Linked DNA regions of Macaca mulatta. Each later gene encodes a partner of the first gene's protein in a complex. Links are inferred from orthologs where the notes say so. Each region holds a gene or a part of one and is shown on either strand. Other genes may lie near its edges.

The links.
Region 2: the proteins of KCNQ1 (region 1) and KCNE3 are in contact, whole or in part, in a cryo-EM structure (PDB 6V01), measured with the Homo sapiens proteins. The link is inferred for Macaca mulatta from reciprocal best matches to the Homo sapiens genes KCNQ1 and KCNE3. Residues at the interface, in NP_000209.2 of Homo sapiens: Arg116, Pro117, Thr118, Gly119, Trp120, Cys122, Phe123, His126, Phe127, Phe130, Leu134, Leu137, Ile138, Val141, Leu142, Ile145, Gln147, Tyr148, Arg181, Met238, Val241, Asp242, Gln244, Thr247, Lys362, Asn365, Ile368; in NP_005463.1 of Homo sapiens: Asp54, Asp55, Asn56, Ser57, Tyr58, Ile61, Met65, Phe68, Ala69, Val72, Gly73, Leu75, Ile76, Leu77, Tyr79, Thr80, Arg81, Ser82, Arg83, Val85, Lys87, Asp90.

What each region holds. Positions count from the first base shown.
Region 1 is NC_133419.1:2,350,075-2,360,014, forward strand, and holds the start of KCNQ1 (potassium voltage-gated channel subfamily KQT member 1), read left to right. Parts: upstream 1-4,262; 5' UTR 4,263-4,552; coding exon 4,553-4,938; intron 4,939-9,940. UniProt on the Homo sapiens protein: Pore-forming subunit of the voltage-gated potassium (Kv) channel involved in the regulation of cardiomyocyte excitability and important in normal development and functions of myocardium, inner ear, stomach and colon.
Region 2 is NC_133419.1:74,855,028-74,861,598, reverse strand, and holds the end of KCNE3 (potassium voltage-gated channel subfamily E member 3), read left to right. Parts: intron 1-3,162; coding exon 3,163-3,514; 3' UTR 3,515-4,549; intron 4,550-4,613; exon of another isoform or gene 4,614-4,678; intron 4,679-4,844; exon of another isoform or gene 4,845-4,950; 3' UTR 4,951-5,740; downstream 5,741-6,571. UniProt on the Homo sapiens protein: Ancillary protein that functions as a regulatory subunit of the voltage-gated potassium (Kv) channel complex composed of pore-forming and potassium-conducting alpha subunits and of regulatory beta subunits.

The DNA.
Region 1 (9,940 bases):
CAGCCTCCACCATCTCCTAGCTGCCCATCCATTCTGCATTGAGTGCCTACTGCATGCAGAGTCCTCCAACAGCAAATACCTCCCAGATTCGCTGAGGGGCCTGCTCCAGGGTCTCTGTGGAGACGACCCCAGGGCCCTTGCTGACCATCCTCCACATTCTGCAACCCCATCCTGTGCCCCCTTCATTTTCTTTGTCTCACCACTACCTGGTGGTCTTGCACACAGCTCTGTGGCCTGCGCCTAGAACAGTGCCTGGCACTCAGCTGGTGCTCTACGAGGATCTGGGGGAACAAATGAATGAATGAAGGAATAACGAATAGGTAGGAAGATGACCTGAAGGAGGATGTTGGCCAGGAAGCCTTTGGTGGGCTGGCTGTTCTAGCAGCCCATCCCTGGCCCACAGATGCTGATCTCATAGCAGCCACACACCCTTCCTTTGGTCAGCCTCAGTTTCCCCATTCCTCATGCATTCTTGGTGACCTCTGAGGCTCCTCCCACTGCGGGCCTCTGACCCTGTCGAAGGAACATGAGGTGAGCCTAGTGAACTGAGGGATGTCGGCAAACAGCCCTGGAAGGTTGGTGTGAGGTAGGTTGAGAGCTGTGTTCCAGAAGGTTCTGAGGCTCTGGGACAGCCTGAGGGCCTGAGAGGTTGGGGGAGGGTTGCCTCCCTGTTCAAGCTGGCTGGATAGGTCTGTCAGCCTTTGCATCCAGGACAGCCAGGGCTGGACATGTGCACCCACCAGAATGATAGAGGAGGGGCTTTCCTCAGTGGAGGGACCCCAGGGGTCCTGCTCCCTCAGCTGATAGGGGCCCTCCTCACCTCCTTGCTCACACAGAGTGGCCACTGGGCTCAGTCAGGCCCCACTTGTATTTCCTGTTCTACCAGGCCACCTACCCTTACTCCCCCACCCTCAGCCCTTACTCCCTCACCTGAGCCCATACCCAGCCCAGCCCAGCCCCACCTTACCTCACCTGTGCACCTGGCCTTACTCCCTCCTCTCAGTTCCCCACCCATCCCCCTTCAGTTCCTTGGAGTTTGCAGGGAGCATGAAGACAATCCCTTGTCCAGCCTCTCTCCTGCCTCAGTGTCCCCAAGCCAATGGGACCCCATAATCCCAGAGCAGCAGGCTGTGGCACAGCTCAGGGCCCAGGAGACAGCCCTGGGGTCCTCCAAGAAGCCTGCCCAGTGAGTTATTAGATTTTTTTTTTTTTTTAGATGGAGTTTCGCTCTTGTCACCCAGGCTGGAGTGCAGTGGTGCGATCTCGGCTCACTGCAGCCTCCACTTCCTGGGTCCAAGTGATTCTCCTGCCTCAGCCTCCTGAGCAGCTGGGATTATAGGCATGTGCCACCACACCTGGCTAATTTTGTATTTTCAGTAGAGATGGAATTTCACCATGTTGACCAGGCTGGTCTCAAACTCCTGACCTCAAGCAGTCAGCCTGCCTTGGCCTCCCAAAGTGCTGGGATTACAGGTGTGAGCCACTGTGCCAGGCGTAGAATTTTTAAAATATGGAGGCTTGACCTGCTTGACCACTCTGCCTTTTCACTTGTCTTCAGAATAGTCAAGCAACCTGCAGAGGACCAAATAGGATTTTTCAGTATTATTATGAATGCATGGGCTTTTCAGCTATTTGATGTGTTTTAATCCATGACTCTTTTTGATGCTCAAATTGTCCCATTGTTGATCAGCCCATTCTCCAACTTGATAATGAACAGTAGTAGAATATACCTTTTTCCTAAGATAAAATAGCTGAGGAGTCTATGCTAATATAGTCCATTCAAATTTAAGGATTGGTTTGTACCTCTTTGATTTTTTAAATCTACATCTTTTTTATACTGAAAATCTTGGTTTCAAAGGAATTTAGCATCATTGTTTCTTTGATATATATATACATACACACACATATATAAATATAAATATATAAACATATATATACATACATACACACACACAAACAGTTCTTTGGGATCTTTTGGTTCTTTGAGTATTAGTAATCATATTGATCATGGCACTCCATCGTGTGGCTGTACCATGGCACAGCTGAACCAATTGAAGGACAGTGTGATTGTCTCTAGACTTTTGCTAACATAAAAAATGCTGTGTTGACTATCATTATATATATGTACTTTTCTATTTTTCCTACATATCTTTGGGTTATTTCCTAGAAGTGGGGTTTCTGTATCAAATGATACATTTAGTAATATCACAAGGTCCCTTTCTACCAGTGACGAGGAGTGCACCTGCTGCCTCTCCCACAGAGTTGCCATCAAAGGTCTGGATTTTTGCCAATCTGATAAGCAACCAGTGGTATCAGAGTGTACTTTTAATTTGCATTTTTCTTGTTATAAATGAGGTTGAACATTTTTTCCTAAGTGCAAAGGTCATGAACCCCATTTCCTATGAACTGCTCATGTCTTCTGCTCCCTTTTCCATAGGACTGTCTGGCAGGTTCCTCACCTCAGTTTTGGATGTTCTTTATGTATTAGTGATATTAATCCTTTGTGATAGAAACTGCAAATACTTTTCCCATTTGGCCATTTGTCTCCTTTACTTTGCTAATGGTGTTTTTATTTTGATTTTTCTTATTTTATCTATTGCTTTTGGATTTCAAGTCATAGTTGGAAATGTTTTCCCAGTTCACAGGTTCTTGAGGAATTGACCTGTACATTCTTGTACAATTTGCATGGCTTCATCTCACCTTTTACACTTAAGCTTCTGATTCATTTGAGATTTATTCTTGTGTGTGATGAGATGGACCCAAGCTATCCTTTTTCTTTCTTTCTTTATGACTGTCCAGTTGTCCAAACACTGCTTATTCAAAGCTCAACTTCCTCCCGCTGAGGTGGGAGGGGAAGACAGAGACTCCATGCAGGCAGTACTTGCTGAATGCGTGCTGTGTGCCCTGCAGAGCTGACTGACTGCCCCCATCTTCTGGCCCGCTGCCCTTTTGTACAATATGCTTCCCAGGAAGGTATCCTCTCCTCTGCATCCCCTGCGTTATCATAGTGCCCAGCACAAGCTGGGAAGCTGGGACCCCACTCCATCCACTCTTGCTGCAAATACAGACTGTGCACCCAGGTGTCAAGGGCCTGGGCTGGACTCTCTCCATGATAAAAGAGCAGACTTTTGGCAGTGGGGTGGTGGATACGTCAAATTGGCCCAGGGTGCTCAGCGATGACCTGGAAGTGTCGCATGAGTTATGGGTCACCTGGCCGGGCTGAGAGTCACCGCTGAGCTTCACCTTCAGTTCTTGCCTCGAGTCTGTGTGCAACATCCTGAAAAAAGCTGGTCTTTTCTGTTGGCTGCCCCCCACCACCACCCCAAGCCTGAGATGTGCTGAGACCCAAATGCCAGCAGCGGGCGGGAGGCAGTGCAGAGTCCTGTGAAAATCTTCCGATGTGACCAACCCACCCCCACCCAGGGGAATCCACAGGGCGCAGCGGCAGCGCGGTCCGGAGGGTAGAGAGGACAAGGCGCCCATTCTCCAAGACCCTAGGGTGGCGCAAGCGCCTCTCCCTTGACCTGCCCAGGCAGCCCCGCCCGTTATGCCCAGCAGTCGAGCCAGGTGCAGACCCACGCTGTGCCGCCCCGCTCCCCAGCAGCACCCGCACAGCTCCCACTGGGGGGTACATCACAGTTCGTGGTTCCATCTCACCCTCCTGGTCCAAGGGCCCTGGTGGGAAGCGACCCGAGAGTATTCCCCGCCCACAGCTCGCGCGCCTGGGCACCCGGGGGCGCTCACAGTGATCGCGGGGCCAGCACACCCTCACCCAGTACATCCCTTTCCTCCCACCACCCCCAACTCCGGAGCGGCTCAGAGGGAGGGACAATAGATGCCGGCACCCTACCCCGCCCCTCCTGCCCTGGCTGTGCAGTTCTTGGTGGTGGTATCGGCCTGGCCTTACCCCTTCCTCCCTGGCTCAGCTGGGGTCCTCCTCCGGGCCAGACAGAGCAGGCGGGCATCAGAAGTGGGGGCCAAGCAGGTGGGTGAGGGCAGGGCAGGTGCAAGCAGAGGAGATGCAGAAGGGGCGGGGCTAAGCAGGTGGGCGGGGAGAGTCGGAACCAAGCGGGGGGGTAAATGCACATAGGGGCGGGGTAAAACAGGTGGGCGAGGAAGGGGCGGGGCCAAGCGGGGTAGTTGCAGACAGGAGCGGGGCTAACTAAGCAGGTGGGCGGGGGCGGGGGCGGGGGCGTGGGCGGGGCGTGGGCGGGGGCGGGGACAGGCCAAGTCAGGGTTGAGGCGGAGGCAGGGCCAAGCCGGTCCTTGAGGGAGAGGGCGGGCCAAGCCGGTGGGCGCGGGTAGGGACGAAATGAGCGCGCCGGGCTGGCGGGGGCGGGGCGTGCAGGCGGGGGCGGGGCCCGCCGCTCCATGAGACCGGTCCTCGGCCACTGCCCCCTCCGGCCCCGCCCCGAGCGCCCGGGCTGCGCCGGCAGCGGCCCCCCGCGGCGGGGCTGGCAGCAGTGGCTGCCCGCACTGTGCCTGGGCGCTCGCCTTCGCTGCAGCTCCGGGTGCCGCCTCCCGGGCCGGCCCGCCGCGGGCTCTCCTTGTTATGGCCGCGGCCTCCTCCCCGCCCAGGGCCGAGAGGAAGCGCTGGGGTTGGGGCCGCCTGCCAGGCGCTCGGCGGGGCAGCGCGGGCCTGGCCAAGAAGTGCCCCTTCTCGCTGGAGCTGGCGGAGGGCGGCCCGGCGGGCGGCGCGCTCTACGCGCCCATCGCGCCCGGCGCCCCAGGTCCCGCGCCCCCTGCGTCCCCGGCCGCGCCCGCAGCGCCCCCAGTTGCCTCCGACCTTGGCCCGCGGCCGCGGGTGAACCTAGATCCGCGCGTCTCCATCTACAGCACGCGCCGCCCGCTGTTGGCGCGCACCCACGTCCAGGGCCGCGTCTACAACTTCCTCGAGCGTCCCACCGGCTGGAAATGCTTCGTCTACCACTTCGCCGTGTGAGTATCGCCACCGGCGACGGCCGGCACGAAGGTGCTTCCTGAGAGCTTGTGTGGGGGAGCTCTGTCCCAGCGCCACCTGCCCCGTAGGGGCTGCGACCCTGGAGCAGAGGAGGGAAGAAGTGGGGAAACGCAGAAACACAAACTGCACTCCCCCTTGAAGTTCAGGGGCGCTGCTGTGTCTGGGGGTGCGCAGCTGCTCGCAGGCCCGGCATGGGGAGGGAGCCGGCTGGGGAGGGGACCACCTGGAGCCCAGAATTTGGCTCCACACCTCCGGGGAGGGTCGGTCCAGGTGTGATTCTTTCTGGGAAGAGAAGCCTGCTGGGGAGCGCACCTTTGGGTTCAGTAAGAGAACTCCTCAAGGTCGGCTGAGACTCGAGGCTCAGGAGCCCCCAAGAGAGAAGGCGCCTGATGTCCAGCTGGTGCCACATCTCAGACCTCTCTGAGGCCCAGTTGTACTCTGGGGCAGGGGGCTGTCCAGGAGAGGAAGGTGACGGTGGCAGTGCTCCCTGAGGGCTCAGCGTGCCATGGGGCGTCCCCACCGGCCTCATATTAACCGAACCAAGCTCATGAAAACCTGGCTTGATGCAGAGTGGAGAGGCACGTCTGCAGCTCTCACTCAGAGGCAGCTGTGCTCCCGCAGACGGTAGCGCTGGTAGCAGAGGCTCCTGGCCCTCCCTGTTACCAGGTGGTTCCAATTCCCGGTACAGCGTGCCTGAGCAGGGCTGGGCACTGGATTTCTCGGGGATGGGCCCGGGAAGTCACCTCCGGAAAGGTCCAGGCTGCTCTCCTCGGTGCCTGCCTGGGGCCCTCCCCCGCCGCCCCAGTGGCCCTACTTCCTGGCTGCCCAGCCAGCGGCCTTTTGGTGTGGTGCCAGCCTCTGGCCTGGGAGCCTCTACCCAGCCATCCCATGGCTGATGGCCGTGGGGCTCACCTGAGGGCTGAAGGGTGGTCTCCCTGAGCATCCTCAGGTGGAAGCATCTCCTCTGCCTTGGGCAGGCTCAGTAGAGAACTGGCTGGAGGGCATCCAGGGGCCTGTCCATGCCTGCTGGCAGCTGCCACCAGCAGGAGCCAGGCCCCAGCCAGCTTCAAGCATGGTCTCAGGTGAGAGGGTGGGGTAGAGGTCGCAGGGCTACTGCCTTCCTTGCTGAGAGGTGGCCTTCCACATCAGGAAGGGGAAGTCTCAACCACCTCTATCCTCAAAGATGTGGTTGGGGTGTTATCTTGGAGACTTTTCCCCACCCCCGGCTCCCAAGCCCCTGTCTCCTGACATGTCAGCGGGTGCCTGGGCCACAGCCGCTGCTGGTCTGTGAGAGGAACTGGCTCTGCTCATGGCTGCAGCAGCGGGGGCTTGGCTTGTGGTTTGGGAGATGTTTGTGTGCAGTGACCCAGGGGAACCCACCCAAGTCTGATGCCACTGTGCAAATGTCCAGCAGATGCCAGATTCACAGGTGCTGTGTGCTGTTGGCCACCTGCCTCCTGGACCCCAGACTCTCTGAGATGTCCAGGGGTGGGAAGACCCCCTCAGCCAGAGGCCAAGACAAAGCGCCTGCAGACCCCCTCAGTTCTCACTTGTATTCAGGTTTGTGGACATGTGCCTCTGGGCTCACTGCAGCCACCCGTGCGGAGGAAGAGGGCCCGCCGCGCCCCAGAGGAAGTCTCTGCTTGCACTTGTGTTTTCTTCCTGATTTGGATTGTTTAGGTCTCGGAAGTTTGCTCAGCAGAGTCTACCTTTACCCAGCCTCCGTAGAGCTGGCAAGGCAGCGGTGGCTTCTGGGGACAGGGCAGGAGGGCTTCTGTGAGGGGGTGGCCAGGAAAGGGATGCTTCTGTGAAGTGGCCAGACCCGGGGCTGGTCCTTTCCAGCTCTGGGCCCTGTCCCTGTAAGATGTGTGCCTGGCCCTGGGAAGTTGTCATGAACAGCCCCTTCCCAGGTACCTCCATGCGGGGTGGGACTGGAGGTGGACCCTGGCTGGGCAGGACATGTGACTTGGTGGGGGCCTGGGAGATGCACTCCCACCCTCAGTGCTCTAGGAGGTTGGCAGGACCAGTCTCTCAAGGGGAGACCTGGTCATAGAGCCAGGATGGCAGAGTAGCTGGAGGCTACCTACAGCCTCACAAAATCAGGTCCAGCCCTGTGCCAGTCCAGCCCTTGTGTTGCTGTAAGAAGTCTTGGCAATGGTGGCAGAGACAGGGCCCTGTCCTTAGGTGGATTGTGAAATGAGAAGTATTGTGGTTTTTGACCTGAAGACGACAAGCCTGGCCTTGAAGAGCCAGGGGGGTTGAGGCAGGAGCCGGTGTTCCGCTGACCCTACAGGGCTAGGCAAACTCTCCTGTGTGTGGCTGGGGAAGCCAGTCAGGATATCCTGTCCCCTCCTTGGGGAACCCCCGCCCCCAGGAGAGCAGCTCTTCCTGTGTTCCCTTTGGCCTCCCTGGGCTGGCCGGGGTGGACACGGCGCTGGGCCTCGACCCTTGCCCGCTTAGGCTTCCTACCCCCAACACCCCCAGTTACCTGTGGCTGCTTGCGCCCCCACTGGGGGCAGCTCCCATCTTAGCTGAGGGGATGGGGATCCATACAGCCCTGCTGCACCCAGAGGTCCTAGCTCCCTTGCTGTGAGCCTTCGTCGGGGGTGTGGACATCCAGCTGGCATCTATTCTGGTTGCTGAGACGCTTGGAGATCCTGGTTGTGGTCAAGGAGAGGGATTTGAGGGGGGACCTGGAGTGCATGGGGACAGCCCTCGTAGGCTCTCAAACCCAAGCCTGGCTCAGCAGCCGCTGTTCCCCCTTCCCACAGCCTTGCCTTTCCCTGTTTCCCAAGAACTTTCCAGGGGTGTTGGCAGAACCCTCACGGATGCATGTTAATCAACAATGGAGCCAGAGGCAGGTCCTGGAGGTGGATTGGGCCGATCTGGTTGCCTCCCCAAAAGACAAAGCCATGCAGAGGCCAGCTCTCAGGGTGTAGCACCCAACTTTGTGGACCTCAGTGCCCTCCTGTCTCCAGGCTCTGGCATTGGAGTCCGAGGCAGCTGCTGGACAGTTGTTCTGTAGCTGGGCAGGGAGGCCAGAGGCTGAAGCAGGTGCTGCAGCTGGGCACAGAGGAGGACGGAGCTCTTTGGGCCATCAGGTCTCTTTCCATCTTCTTTAAGACCCCTCCACCCACTCCTCAGCCCTAGATTCCCAGTAAAACTGGGAATGCCTTTTGGGGCTTTTCCCAGTGCCACCTTCTGTGGGGCCTGAGTCTTTGGTCTCATCCTCTGGCTGTCTGGGATCACCTCACCTCCATTACAGACTCAGCCCAGTGTTTCTGGATCCACTCTTGCCAACATGCTGAGTGCCTACTGTGGCTTCAGTCTAGTTGGGGGGAACGCATCCCTTACCCCTGGCCATCAGCTGGGGAGGGGGTAGTCCAGGTGGCACAAGAGCCTGGAGTCTGGGAGAAAGGGCCTCCCCAGCCTGTGTGGGGACAGGGGGTCAGGAGCATGGTAGGGACTTGGGTCCTTGGAGGTGGCTCGGGCAGTGCCTGGTGGGTGTGGAGCAGGTGGCAGGGTTTTGTGTCTGCGCATGGCCCCATGGTTGGGCCGCCTTGGCCAGGGTCCAGGGCCTTCTGAGTCTGCGTCTTGTCCTCTGTGGCAGAGGCTACTGGTGCTGGTGCCCTCAGTGCAGGGTGCCTCAGTTGGAGGGAACATTCGTCTGTGCCTGGCACTGAAGCCACAGCTCCCTGTGGGCATGGTACTTGCAGCTTGAGCCTACAACCCTGGGGTGCTGGAGGCAGGGGGGTCCCTTTTGACTTGGCAGTTGCGAGGTCCTGGAACCTTTGCACATAATGTGCTGGCTGCCATGTGTCGCGGGGCCAGGTCTGAGGGAGGGGCTTTGCAGGGACACTCCTGGGTGCCGATGGGATGAAATTCCGCTGGGTGTGAGGGCCTGGGGTGCAGTTGGGCCGTCCAGTGCGAGGTCAGGTGGTTGGAGCCAGGGAGCTGGCATGTCAGCTGCTGCTATGAGTTCTGCCACGTGCCGTCCTGGCATGTGGCACGTCCTGCAGAGGACAGGAAGGGTGAACAGCTCCGAACCCACCCTATGTGTGCTCCAGAGCTGGAAACAGGCTGTGTGGAGCTGAGCGCCTTTGGGGGCAGCTGAGATGGGCAGGAGCACCGTGCCCACCGCGGGTATCAGAGTGACAGGGATTGGCAGGCAATTCCACTCGGGTGGCTGATGCCGCTGTTTTTAAAGGCGTTGGGTGCCGAGAATTCTGCTCCTGCTGCCGGGCTGGTTTCAAGTCTGCTCCTTCTACGCTCGACGCCCTTGCCAGGGTGATCCAGAGTTGCTCAGATGAGCAAGCGTCCTCGAGTCCCAGGGGTGCTGTTAACAGGGCTGTTGACTGACGCAGCAGGTCCAGGGAGCTCATGCCTTCCAGCGATGGGAATGCCACCGGTCCCTGTAGCCAAGGTGCAGACACACGCGTCCTGGTCCTGAGCCCCTGCTCGGCCCTGGGCAGGGCCCCCAGTCCCTTGCATTCCACCTGCCTTGTCTGGGAGGTGGACGAGCCCTCCCTAGCCCTGACATTCCAAACTGGCTTTTGACCCCTGCGATATGTCACTGTGATTCAAGACTCTGTCCACGGGCAAGAACAACAAGGCTGGGACAATCTCATCTCAGGCACCTGTGGGAGGAGACAGGTCCCAAGGCCGGTGATGTCAGGAGAACATTCTAGGCCTAGGAGGAGCTGGGAGAGCAGACGCTCAAGGCGAGATGCTGGTGTGTGGCCAGTGTCAGGAGAGCATGGTGTTGGCCTGGGGAGATGCCGCAGAGAAGCTTCCAGAAGCCCAACATCTGCTGCTGGGGGGGAGAATGAGGCAATGAATGTCACCATCCTGGGCCACTTTGACCCAGACCCCAAGGATTTGGTTACAGAGGGGAGGGCGGCAGGGTCTGGCTTCACGCTCAGGAGGTGCCTTGGGGCTGGCCAGTATGGGATTGCTGTCACCACGGGTCACTGCAGCCCC
Region 2 (6,571 bases), about 73 Mb from region 1:
CCCATGATCTGGCTCCTATCTCTCCTGTCCCACATCCTATGCTATTCTTCTACACATCTTACACTTCAACCTCTTTATGCTACTTTCCATTCTTCTAAACATGTACACACTTTGTTGCGCCTTTGCTCATGTTGCCTTCCTTTGTCTTCTCTGCCTCTTAAAAATCCTTCAAGGTCCAACTCAAATGCCTCCATCACTGTGGACACTCTCTAAGCCCTGATCAGTATCCATTACTTATTCCTTTTAGCCTTAGTAGCTCCTGGCTTGTCCCCTGCATTGTATCAGAGCAGAGCCCCTGGATCTGGGCGAAGGCACTGGATCTGAGCCACCCCGAGCTCCCATCACAGGGCCTGGCCCATATTGGTGATAACTATCTGGATGATTTTTTGAGTTATTTATTTCCTCATGCTGCTCCTACTTGCTATTGGCAGACACGAGGGAAGAAGCAGCCACAGATCTTTTGCCTGACACATGGGGTAGTAGATGAGAATGTATATCTCCTGGATCTTAACTCAGTGAGCTCTTGTTCTTCTCCCCTCCTCCATCCAGACAGGACAGCACAAGTACTAGATGGCAGAGGGCCCCAAAGGCCTTGCATAAAATGCTGCCCAGTCCTGGCTAATTGCGTTCATAGAGCCATTGACGAATATTTATCATGGTCAGAATGATCATATTTTCCAGGGAAGAGATCTTATGGTTAATAGTCACATTAGTTAACTTTAGTTTGTTAACAGTTCTGCCCATATGATGGAGGACTGAATGCTTGGCCCATAGAGAATTCCTTAAAGTGGACATCTTTACTAGAAACTATTGAGAGAAGGATAACACCCATTCAGTCTTAGGGCAGTCCCCTAGAAAAAGGGAATGCCCAGCCAGTCGCAGGGTAGTGCCCTGGGAAAGGAGAACACCCAGTCTCAGGGTAGTCCTCCAGATTGGAGGAAGAGACATAGCCCTGCTGACCAGGCACATGTGGCCTGATGATATCCTTATCAAAAACAAGAGGATAGCCACATATTGCCTTATATGTTAAGTGTTGGGGGGAAGGGAAGGCTGTGATGATAAAGGTGGTGTAGTGTGGCTGAGGGGTGGGGAGCACTGAACGGAGGCTTCCCTAAAGGAAGTGAGTGTGGGGCCTTGTTTACAGGGAATGACATATGGTTTTTCAGAGACAAGGATGCAAGTCTGTTTTAAGATGTTCTTTCTGACTGGGCACAGTGGCTCACGGCTGTAATCCCAGCACTTTGAGAGGCTGAGGCGGGTGGATCATGAGGTCAGGAGATCAAGACCATCCTGGCTAACACGGTGAAACCACATCTCTACTAAAAATACAAAAAAATTAGCCAGGCATGGTGGCGGGCACCTGTAGTCCCAGCTACTTGGGAGGCTGAGGCAGGAGAATGGCGTGAACCTAGGAGGCGGAGCTTGCAGTGAGCTGAGATCGCGCTACTGCACTCCAGCCTGGGCGACGAGCGAGACTCCATCTCAAAAAAAAAAAAAAAAAAAGGTTATTTCTATATTATAGACTAAGGATCTCTGAGAAGAAGGAAAAGGAACATTTATAATCACTTAGTATATGCCAGGTACATAATGACTTTATTTCAGGAGACAAGATAGTTGGCGTGCTTGTGTCTTCTTTTTGTGGGCAGGTAAACCCCAAGCCAGACTGAGAACTCCTTTCACTCTCCCGCCCTCAGGCCCAAGCTGTTCTTCTCTTCTCCAGCGCCTACAGTGGTTGCCAACCTGTTCCCATTTCCCTGACCACCTCCTTTCCAACAGAATTTCTGCAAATAGCTAGGAATATCTAGTCTTTGGGACACAGGATGCTTGAGAGGTCAAATGATCCAGCTTCTGGCCTCTAGGTAGGATGAAATTTAAACCATCCCCAGGCATCTTCCAAAAAGGTGTACCCATGGAGTCTTTTTTTTTTTTTCTTTTGAGACAAAGTCACACTCTGTGGCCCAAGCTGGAATACAGCAGCTCTATCTCGGCTCACTGCAACCTCCACCTTCTGGGTCCAAGCGATTCTCCTGCCTCAGCCTCCCAAGTAGCTGGGATTACAAGTGCTCACCACCACGCCCAGCTAATTTTTGTATTTTTAGTAGAGATGGGGTTTTACCATGTTGGTAAGGCTGGTCTCCAACTCCTGACCTCAAGTGATCCACCTGCCTCAGCCTCCCAAAGTGCTAGGATTACAGGCATGAGCCACTGTGCCCAGCCTGTCTGTGGAATCTATAAAGAGAACTGTGCTGAAGGAGAGTTGTGATGAATGTCTTCTTATGGTGCCACACAGTCCTGCTGAGAGCTAGCTTGGAAGTGGAAGCAGCTCTAAGCTAGCCATAAGGAGCAGGGCTTTCTGTCTTGGCTCTACCTCCAATATTCTGTGACCATGGACAAGCCACTTATTCTCTCAAGGCCTCAGTTTCCCTGTGTGTAAAATGGCAAGAGTTACATTCAATAATCCTTAAGGTCCTTCTAACCTAAAGTTCAGTGATTTATAGAATCTAAAGAAATGAGAGATTAGTATGGGTTCTGATGGTCGGGGAAGGCTTTATTCTACAATTATTTATTGAGTACTTATCGAGTGCTGTCATAAGTGATTGCATATAGCAGTCAGTAAAACAAATATAGGCCCTGCCTTTATTATTTAGTATATGGTCTAGTGGAAAAGACAAACATGTAATCAAGTAACCAGAATAAGCTATTGTATTAGTCCATTTTCATACTGCCATGAAGGAATACCTGAGCCTGGGCAGTTTATAAAGAAAAAGAGGTTTAATGCACTCACAGTTCCACATGGCTGGGGAGGCCTCACAATCACGGCAGAAGGCAAAGGAGGAGCAAAGGCACATCTTACATGGTGGCAGGCAAGAGAGCAGGTGCAGGGGAACTGCCCTTTATAAAACCATCAGATCTCTTGAGACTTATTTACTGTCATGAGAACAGCATGGTAAAAACCCACCCCCATGATTCAGTTACTTCCTACTGGGTCCCTCCCATGACACATGGGGATTATGGGAGCTATGATTCCAGATGAGATTTGGGTAAGGACACAGCCAAACCATATCAGCCATGATGCTAGGATTTTACTGGGATCTGAAGGGAGGAGGTCATTTGAGCTCCAGGTGACAGAGCCATCCCCTCTCTCTTTTCTCTTGCCAACAGAGCTTCTACCGAGTCTTCCCCCACCTCAATCCCTGTTGCTATGGAGACTACCAATGGAACTGAGACTTGGTATGAGAGCCTACATGCCGTGCTGAAGGCTTTAAATGCCACTCTTCACAGCAATTTGCTCTGCCGGCCAGGGCCAGGGCTGGGGCCAGACAACCAGACTGAAGAGCGACCGGCCAGCCTACCTGGCCGTGATGACAACTCCTACATGTACATTCTCTTTGTCATGTTTCTATTTGCTGTCACTGTGGGCAGCCTCATCCTGGGATATACCCGCTCCCGCAAAGTGGACAAGCGTAGTGACCCCTATCATGTGTATATCAAGAACCGTGTGTCTATGATCTAACACGAGAGGGCTGGAATGGTGGAAGACCAAGACACCTGGGGATTGCGTCTGGGGCCTCCAGAACTCTGCTGTGGACTGCATCAGGTCTCAGTGTCCCTATCTGTAAGAGCAACAAGAAACAGGGCTAAGGGAGGTCATCACTGGGGTGGGAGAAGAGGGGCTGGTAGACCGAAGCCTTGTGCATAAGGATTTTTTCCCAGGAAAAGATAGACTTTATAAACAGTGGGAGTCCTTGAACAAACATATAAAAGTAGCAACAGATAATGACCAACAACTGGTTCAGTGGCTGGAGTACTGGGGGCCTGAAGGTTGGAGAAAGGAGAAGTTGTAGCAGAGGGAGATGAGACAGGAAGATGCTCTGGGGACACATTTTTTATGTGTTATCTTCAAAAGCCATGAGAAGCAGTGATGATTATCCCATATCACAAATATGCTTTACCACCACCACCCTGCCACCACTCCCACTCGCACTCCCATAAAGAAAGCAGGGCAAGTGCTGTGCCGCCCATTTGGGCCTGAGTAGTGCCATGATTGGAACCCAGGAACTCTGGTCTCCTTGCCTAGTGCTTTTCAAAACTCTGTGCCACACAGGAGTGGATCCAGGCCTGAAGGTCATACAATTCTGGGGACTCTCTTTAAGAAAAAGAATTCTAAAATATCTTACTTTTGCAAACATTATGCAAATATACTGCCACATTAATATGTTGCTAGGGCTCCTACTAGGACCTTAAGAAGGAGCTCATGTGAGTCAGGACCCTGAATGTTAGGCCTTGTTAGCTCTATGGTTCATATGCTTCTTGAACCAAGTCACAGGGTACTTCCCAGTCACATTGCTAGTCAACAGGACTAAACTACCTCCAAAGCAGCCTCTTCAGTTTTGAGTTCTGTGAGAAATGTTTTCCTTTTCTTTTTCTTTTTCTTTTTTTTTGAGACAGTCTCCCTATGTCACCCAGGCTGCAGTGCAGCAACCCAGTCTTGGCTTACTGCAACCCCCACCTCCCAGGTTCAAGCAATTATCCTGCCTCAGCCACCTGAGTAGCTGGGATTACAGATTCCTGTCACCACACCCAGCTAATTTATATATATATATATATATATATATATATATATATATATTTTTTTTTTTTTAAAGTAGAGGCAGGGTTTCACCATGTTGTTGCCCAGGCTCGTCTCGAACTCCTGGCCTCAAGTGATCTGCCCATCTCGGTCTCCCAAAGTGCTGGGATTACAGGTGTGAGCCACCACGACTATCTGTGAGTTTTCTGAGGTCATATTGAATCTGCTTCTAAAAGACTGATATTGCCAAGGTGGGCAGATCACCTGAGGTCAGGAGTTCGAGACCAGCCTGGCCAACATGGTGAAACCCCGTCTACTAAAAATATACAAAAATTAGCCAGGCCTGGTGGCGGGTGCCTGTATTCCCAGCTACTTGGGAGGCTGAGGCAGGAGAATTGTTTGAACCCGGGAGGCGGAGGTTGCAGTGAGCCAAGATTGCACCACTGCACTCCAGCCTGGGCGACAGAGCAAGGCTCTGTCTCAAAAAAAAAAAAAAAAAAAAAAAAAAAGACAAGACAAGACTGATATCGCACCTAAAATATTATTATATTAAAAGAAGCAGAGTATGAGACGTAGGTGCATGGTCCAGTAGGAAGAGAAGCAGCCCTGATTCTACCACTTAAGGTGGTATATGATCTTAGGCTGGACACTTCTATCTCTCATCCGTTTTCCTCTTCAACATAATGAAATAGACTTGAAAGTCTCTAAGGCTCTATCAGTTCTGACATTCTAGGCTTCATATACATTAAGTGGAGCCATATGTAATCACTGTGTAGGTTAGAAACAGCTGAGTATTGTAGTTTCATATATGGTTCCAGCTAATACATGCGATGTGGCTGGTGAATACTTCTGAATTCAGAAACTATCCCAAATCTCAGCTAGAACCATCCACTGTTCTGTTTGTCCAGTTTCAACTTAAGGGATCTCCATGTGGTCCCCAGAAGTACCCACTGAAACATGCATATTTGTGTATAGCAGAACTCTGAAATAATATTTTGATAGTAGTTATCTCTGAGGAATTGAATTATGGGTGATTTTCCCTTTCCACATTATAAATTTATGTAATATTTGACTGACTTGACCATAAGTATGTTACTTATATAATAAAAGGAAAAAAGGTACTTCCATTTTGAAAAAATAAAAATAAAAGCCTTTGGGTTCTTGAATGGAGATCATGGGCCACATTTGCTGCCATGTGCGGTTATGTTGATGCTCTGCAAACCTGTGCTGAGCCCTGTTGCTCAAACCCTTCCTCATCTCTTCTTGAGGGAGAAGATGGAGACTTCCTTAAGGAGATGTGACATATGGGAAGACAACAGATTGAGAAATTTACAGCTGATAGGACTTTAGACACCACCCAGCCCAAACTTCCAAATAAAATATGGGACGCAAATGGGTGTAAGAATGAATGGTCAGGTGATGAATGCCATAAGGATTTTGAGAAATGAAATTGACTAGGAGGAGTCAGAGAGAGGTAGAACTTGAACTGGGCTTTGAAAGCTAGGACAGAGCTAAATGGGCAGAGTGAATGAAGGGAACAAGATCAGGGAAGCCTGGAGGCAGATGTCAGGGAGCTCCTTCCTGATGAGGGCAGGTAGGCTGGGGAGACAGCAGGAAGCAGGCCTCCTGGGGCTACTCTATGACTTCAGTGTCCCCAGTGGAGAAGGCTCCCCTTCACACAGTCCTCACACTCCATGGGCTTAATCATAAAATACAAATTATTTCGGTTGCAAGTTACAGGCACCTGATGTATATTAGCATAAGTACAGAAGGGAATTTCTGAAGTGTATGGGGTAGTTCACAAGTTTAAAGAAGGAGCTACAGACACCAGGGCAACTCCAGGGATCTCGGGGCCTGGAACAACGGATCTGCCTGAATTCACAAACTAAGAGCTCAGTATGTTTCCTTAAACACACCCAGGTTGGACTAAATAAAATTCTAGGATTTGAAGGGAGTAAAATTTAAACATTCTAATATCCTACGGTGGCCAGGCACAGTGGC